Linked DNA regions of Saccharomyces cerevisiae S288C. Changing the gene in region 1 together with any one later gene gives a genetic interaction. Each region holds a gene or a part of one and is shown in the gene's direction. Other genes may lie near its edges. The genes, in order: SEC53 and ERG27.

Region 1 (3,536 bases):
AACTGCGTGCCGATTCCTCGTATCAGTATGATGGTCCAATATATCATCATTCAACAAGCTTTCCGGCTGAACCTATGGCCAATAACGAGTTTGTTCTCAAGGAGTTACCATTCGATTGTGCACCTGGTATACTTTTTGAGATCATGTTCAACTCAGAGCAAAACGAATTTCTTCTAGATTTTTTACGGGGTCAAGAAGGTTCACAAATTACCACTATTCCAAATTTCACGAGCATTGACGGATCTTCCATGACTTTGAAGCGTGAGTATTCATACGAGAAAGCATTGCACTTTCCTGCGGGGCCCAAGTCCACGACATGTTATGTTGCTGAGGTAATAAAGAGAAAAGATCCTGATACTTACTATGAGGTTATCAGTAGCATACGCACTCCGAACGTGCCCAGTGGTGGTAGTTTCTCAACTAAGACAAGGTATCTAATCCGTTGGAATGACGAAATAACGTGTCTGTTACGGGTATCCTTTTGGGTGGAATGGACTGGTTCCAGTTGGATCAAAGGTATGGTTGAAAATGGATGCAAGAATGGTCAATTGGAGGCTGCGCAATTAATGGAGCGTATTCTTTCCAAGTTCATCAAGAACAATGTCGAAGAGTGCCAAATTACTATCAGCAAGGAGGAAGAGGAGCAAGATGATAAAGAAGTAAAAAATAAGTTGAAAGAGGTTGACCTTGAACAACCAAGAGAAGCGGTTGTTACGGCTCCCGCAATTGCAGAGCAGCAAGGTCTCAAGGTCACCATGGAAACATGGTTGTTCTTATACTTGATTGTGGTCGTTTTGCTATTGTTTAATCTGTTCTACATACGTTCAATTGCTGTCTCATTACATCAACTGGTGAAGCTGCAATTGGTAGAACTGAAGTTGTGATCTGTATTTTCTTCGTACCAATATATATCGTTTCTATAGGGCAATGGTAGTAACTAATAGTAAAGGGCGAAATAAGCCGATTTCAGTGGCAAATAACAACTTTTTCCTTTGAAAACAAGATAACATTGAAGAAGATAACCAAGAGAAGAAACTTTCAAGATGAAACTGAAAGTTACTGGAGCAGGAATCAACCAAGTCGTTACTTTGAAGCAAGATGCAACACTAAATGATCTTATTGAGCATATCAATGTAGATGTTAAGACGATGAGGTTTGGATATCCGCCTCAAAGGATCAATTTGCAAGGGGAAGACGCTTCTTTGGGACAAACCCAGCTGGACGAGCTGGGTATTAACTCTGGTGAAAAGATTACAATAGAGTCCTCTGATAGTAACGAAAGCTTCAGTTTGCCACCACCACAACCCAAACCAAAGAGGGTGCTGAAGAGCACTGAGATGTCAATTGGTGGCAGTGGAGAAAACGTCCTATCAGTACATCCTGTTCTCGACGACAACTCGTGTCTGTTCCATGCTATTGCCTATGGCATCTTCAAACAAGATAGCGTTCGTGACCTCAGGGAGATGGTCTCTAAGGAGGTCCTCAACAACCCCGTCAAGTTCAATGACGCCATATTGGACAAACCTAACAAAGATTACGCGCAATGGATTTTGAAAATGGAATCTTGGGGTGGAGCCATCGAGATTGGTATCATATCCGATGCACTCGCAGTAGCTATTTATGTAGTCGACATTGACGCTGTTAAAATCGAAAAGTTCAACGAGGACAAGTTCGACAACTACATTTTGATACTGTTCAACGGAATCCACTATGATTCCTTGACCATGAACGAGTTTAAAACTGTTTTCAACAAGAACCAGCCGGAATCAGATGATGTTCTAACAGCAGCTTTGCAACTGGCCTCAAATTTGAAGCAAACTGGCTATTCCTTCAACACTCATAAGGCCCAGATCAAATGCAACACTTGCCAAATGACCTTTGTGGGTGAAAGAGAAGTTGCTAGGCACGCTGAATCCACGGGACACGTTGATTTTGGCCAAAATAGATAATAAAATACGCATTTGGCGTTTATCGGTATACTCGTCATGAGACACGAAAAGTGGATAAAATGCATTCCTTTTGTCGTTGATGAAAAAAAAATTTGAAATATATTAAAATGTGCCGTTTTTTACGTGTTCTTTTCACTTATTTTTCTGTTTATATCGTCTATTCTTCTTGGCAAAGTATAAGATCTTTGACGAAAACTAAATCGACAATTTCCTTAGTACTTCTTTCTCCTTTTTTACCTATCTGCTAATATAACCACCAATAATGAGTATCGCTGAATTCGCTTACAAGGAAAAACCAGAAACTTTGGTTTTATTCGATGTTGATGGTACCTTGACACCAGCCAGATTAACTGTTTCTGAAGAAGTTAGAAAAACTTTGGCCAAGTTGAGAAACAAGTGCTGCATTGGTTTTGTCGGTGGTTCTGACTTAAGCAAGCAATTAGAACAGTTAGGCCCAAACGTTTTAGATGAATTTGACTATTCTTTCTCTGAAAATGGTTTGACCGCCTACAGATTAGGTAAGGAATTAGCTTCTCAATCCTTCATCAACTGGCTCGGTGAGGAAAAATACAATAAATTGGCCGTCTTCATTTTGAGATATCTATCTGAAATTGACTTGCCAAAGAGAAGAGGTACTTTCTTGGAATTTAGAAATGGTATGATCAACGTTTCCCCAATTGGTAGAAATGCTTCTACTGAGGAAAGAAACGAATTCGAAAGATACGATAAGGAACACCAAATCAGAGCCAAGTTCGTTGAAGCTTTGAAAAAGGAATTCCCAGACTACGGTTTGACTTTCTCCATTGGTGGCCAAATCTCTTTCGACGTTTTCCCCGCTGGTTGGGATAAGACCTACTGTTTGCAACACGTTGAAAAAGATGGTTTCAAGGAAATTCATTTCTTTGGTGACAAGACTATGGTCGGTGGTAACGATTACGAAATTTTTGTCGATGAAAGAACCATCGGACATTCAGTACAATCCCCTGATGACACCGTCAAAATTTTGACTGAACTATTCAACTTATAGCTTTATTTCCAGGTTGCTACGTGATTATGCCATTTGTGATCCGTTTGGTGATTCTTTTTTATCCTTCTTATATAAATAAATATACTCTTACTACGTTATTGAATGTGTACTCTTACTGAACTGTGTTATACAAAACGTAAATGCAATTTTCAAGTACCAAGTCTAGCCCTTTTTCCTCGCTTGTCGCCACTATGTTAATAACCTCATATATGCTAATACAAGTGCAAATGTACCTGTACAGACACCTATCAGCCATTGCATGACTTGAGTCTTGACAGAATCAATCTGCATCTTCATATTGGTCACTTCTTGCTCAATTTTGGTGTCGATTTCTTTTATTTGCAGATCGTGATGACTACTTTCTTCCCTAATTCTGCCTTTTTCTAAGGACAGATCAAGTTTGAAACCGGCGTTTGTTTTGGTAATTTCTTCCCTTAGTTTGTTTCTTAGTTTCTCCAGATCGTTTTTCACACTTTCGTACTCGTTTTGAATATTGTGAAATTCACTTCTATCAGCACTCAATAGCTGATCTCTTAACTTTGCAAAATCAACACGTTGTT
Region 2 (3,813 bases), on another chromosome or scaffold:
AGCATTGATTCAGTAGTCAAGTAGCCCGCATATTTATCCATCCAATCGTGCTCGCCATACATGAACATGACAGGCGTTGCTGGGTTCAAAAAACGAACGTTGTTTATTATCGGATCTCTAGCGATCAGATTCCTTTCAAACAAATGGGTGAACACCTTGATTGTCTGTGGTTGCACCGTCTGGTTCTTCCCGACAAATGAGTGCAAAAGATAGTCCTTATATATCTGATCCGGAACTTTTACGTATGCGGTGGAGATGTAGTTCGAGCACAATTTGGAGCCTATGGGTCCCATCCACTTCAAAACGTTTAGCTGGTTTTCAAAGATAAACCGCGGTACGTTCAGCTTTCTTGTATAATATCGGGACGATGGGTCGGTAAACGTAAGTGGATAGGTGGTGTTGGGCTCCCATTTGTGGGTGATAGCATGTATACTGTTTTCCACACCAAGAGGAGATATGAGACACAGTTTCTCAATGGAATCAGGGTACTTGAGGGCGTATTTGAATGAAATATATCCTCCGAATGAATGGCCCACCACGTTTATTTTGCGAAGCTTGTTATCCTTCCGCCATTGCTCTATCCTGTCTACGAAGTAGCTTTCGTACTGCTCCAGGTGTGACTTGATGTCCTCTGCTGGGGGGCGCTTCTCTATCACAGGGATTACTACGTCATCTTCTATATGCTTAAACCTGAGAGACTTGATCTTCTTGGTTTTGTTCACTTGCAATGCTGGCGCCTCTGAGGCACCATTGGCTGGCAAGTCGATGGCATATAGATCTTTAATGTTGTCTGACAGGTTCTCAAACGTCCTGTAGAACGCCATCGACGAGGCAGCGTATCCATGGATTAGTACTGTAGGCGTGCACACTTTGTTCGCACGCTTATTGTGGAAATGCCACTGGTTAATCCCGCCTGGAGTCATCGTGTTATTAACGGACCCACGCACAGTGGTGCTATCCATAATTTGCTGCTGCAGGGCCTTCAGGCCCTGCACGCTAGCACACACCTTGGCGTCTGCAGTAGTGGTCTCCTTCTCAGTTTTGCTGCACCATTTGAAAGTGTTTGTCCACATTCTACTGAAGAAAACTACGCTTACGTATGTATATGTCCTGAACAATGAGAGAAAGACCTGCGAATATACTTCTACTACTCCACGTACAAAAAAGAGCACGCTGCTTTATTTATACTTTTGTGCCACAAGAATGATCAACATCAACATAAATATCAACTAGTATCTGCAACACATCTGCTCCACGGAACTAAACCCGTTGAGCAGTGCCCCGTGGAAACGTAAACTATCGCAAATTGGGATTAACAAGCCAAAAACAGCCAAGCAAGATTCACGAAACCGCGCCTCGTTTGGACCCCGAAGGCCCATTTAACGGCCGGCCGTTACAAGCAAGATCGGCAGAGCAAACCACTCCCCAGCACCACAGCACATCACTGCACGAGCAACAATAACTAGAACATGGCAGATAGCGAGGATACCTCTGTGATCCTGCAGGGCATCGACACAATCAACAGCGTGGAGGGCCTGGAAGAAGATGGTTACCTCAGCGACGAGGACACGTCACTCAGCAACGAGCTCGCAGATGCACAGCGTCAATGGGAAGAGTCGCTGCAACAGTTGAACAAGCTGCTCAACTGGGTCCTGCTGCCCCTGCTGGGCAAGTATATAGGTAGGAGAATGGCCAAGACTCTATGGAGTAGGTTCATTGAACACTTTGTATAAGTGTTTGTTGTTTATGTATCCGCATATAGCAGTTATAACAGATAAATGGCACTTTTCGCACACCCGTTGTTTTATCTCCGATAGTACGTGGGCCTTTATTTATGGTCGTTTAACGAAAGAACGGCATCTTGAATTGAGCAGGTATTTAAAAGATAGGACGAGAAACAAGCACATGATCTGTGTCGAAAAAAAGTAGCAAAGAGAAAAAGTAGGAGGATAGGATGAACAGGAAAGTAGCTATCGTAACGGGTACTAATAGTAATCTTGGTCTGAACATTGTGTTCCGTCTGATTGAAACTGAGGACACCAATGTCAGATTGACCATTGTGGTGACTTCTAGAACGCTTCCTCGAGTGCAGGAGGTGATTAACCAGATTAAAGATTTTTACAACAAATCAGGCCGTGTAGAGGATTTGGAAATAGACTTTGATTATCTGTTGGTGGACTTCACCAACATGGTGAGTGTCTTGAACGCATATTACGACATCAACAAAAAGTACAGGGCGATAAACTACCTTTTCGTGAATGCTGCGCAAGGTATCTTTGACGGTATAGATTGGATCGGAGCGGTCAAGGAGGTTTTCACCAATCCATTGGAGGCAGTGACAAATCCGACATACAAGATACAACTGGTGGGCGTCAAGTCTAAAGATGACATGGGGCTTATTTTCCAGGCCAATGTGTTTGGTCCGTACTACTTTATCAGTAAAATTCTGCCTCAATTGACCAGGGGAAAGGCTTATATTGTTTGGATTTCGAGTATTATGTCCGATCCTAAGTATCTTTCGTTGAACGATATTGAACTACTAAAGACAAATGCCTCTTATGAGGGCTCCAAGCGTTTAGTTGATTTACTGCATTTGGCCACCTACAAAGACTTGAAAAAGCTGGGCATAAATCAGTATGTAGTTCAACCGGGCATATTTACAAGCCATTCCTTCTCCGAATATTTGAATTTTTTCACCTATTTCGGCATGCTATGCTTGTTCTATTTGGCCAGGCTGTTGGGGTCTCCATGGCACAATATTGATGGTTATAAAGCTGCCAATGCCCCAGTATACGTAACTAGATTGGCCAATCCAAACTTTGAGAAACAAGACGTAAAATACGGTTCTGCTACCTCTAGGGATGGTATGCCATATATCAAGACGCAGGAAATAGACCCTACTGGAATGTCTGATGTCTTCGCTTATATACAGAAGAAGAAACTGGAATGGGACGAGAAACTGAAAGATCAAATTGTTGAAACTAGAACCCCCATTTAATATATCTCTGCGTACATATGTATATATATATATGTGTGTATATACATGTATGTCTGTATAGAAAACGCATATCAACTGATATATATACACGTGAAGCAAAAAAGGCATTGCCTCTGTCAGAGAAACGAACTATCCTCGTTGCTATAGTGTCTTCTGCACTTATCGCGTAGACTTTCTATTGGCACTCTGTCATGGCATTTAATCTTGTACACATTCTTTAATTCTTCTTGCAAAAGAAGGTACTCTTCATGCAAATGATGACTTTGGAGTGAATTGACTAATCCTGAGTCGTTCCAGAAACTTTTTAAGGCGTTCGTTTCATGATTTATTATGTCATCCAACCGTCTCATATTAGGTTTCGAATTTGTTACAAATTCTCGCCTTGATAACCTCTCCAGGTCTTCTTTGTTGCATCCAGGTACACTCTCTAACAACATTGAACCATTGCCCTCCGGATTCGCACTGTCATATTTATTAGCCTCTTCGCCGCACATGATGTCAATATCGGGTCGATAGCTGTCTATGCCGTCTAGATGGCCCACCTTATGAAACACAAGACAATGTGCTGCCCTTTCGGCTTTCAAAAAACTGTCAATTCTACTTTCCCTTAGCGTATTGCGCTCACAAAACGGTGAATAATCGTATTGCTTTTCTTCCTCGATGTGGCTCAAAGTATTCAGATAGTCGACTTCGTCTACGTCCATATTTATCCCATAGAGATCATCTGCAGTCCTCTCCTCTAGTACTTCGCCTGTTATGGGCATCGAATCATCATTTATTACCCTTGTCGACCTTTTCCGTAGCGGTGTGGTAAA

Evidence for each region.
Region 2: mutations in SEC53 (region 1) and ERG27 together harm fitness more than expected from each alone (negative genetic interaction), as found in Saccharomyces cerevisiae (2 studies listed by BioGRID).

The regions. Positions count from the first base shown.
Region 1 is NC_001138.5:43,068-46,603, reverse strand, and holds SEC53 (phosphomannomutase SEC53), read left to right. Parts: upstream 1-2,211; coding exon 2,212-2,976; downstream 2,977-3,536. Other genes in the region: LAM5 (Lam5p), read left to right, coding at 1-884; ubiquitin-specific protease OTU1, read left to right, coding at 1,044-1,949; FMP32 (Fmp32p), read right to left, coding at 3,166-3,536. UniProt on the Saccharomyces cerevisiae protein: Involved in the synthesis of the GDP-mannose and dolichol-phosphate-mannose required for a number of critical mannosyl transfer reactions such as folding and glycosylation of secretory proteins in the ER lumen.
Region 2 is NC_001144.5:339,856-343,668, forward strand, and holds ERG27 (3-keto-steroid reductase), read left to right. Parts: upstream 1-1,954; coding exon 1,955-2,998; downstream 2,999-3,813. Other genes in the region: lysophosphatidic acid acyltransferase ICT1, read right to left, coding at 1-1,073; MIM2 (Mim2p), read left to right, coding at 1,470-1,733; APC9 (anaphase promoting complex subunit 9), read right to left, coding at 3,115-3,813. UniProt on the Saccharomyces cerevisiae protein: 3-keto-steroid reductase; part of the third module of ergosterol biosynthesis pathway that includes the late steps of the pathway. ERG27 is a catalytic component of the C-4 demethylation complex that catalyze the reduction of the keto group on the C-3.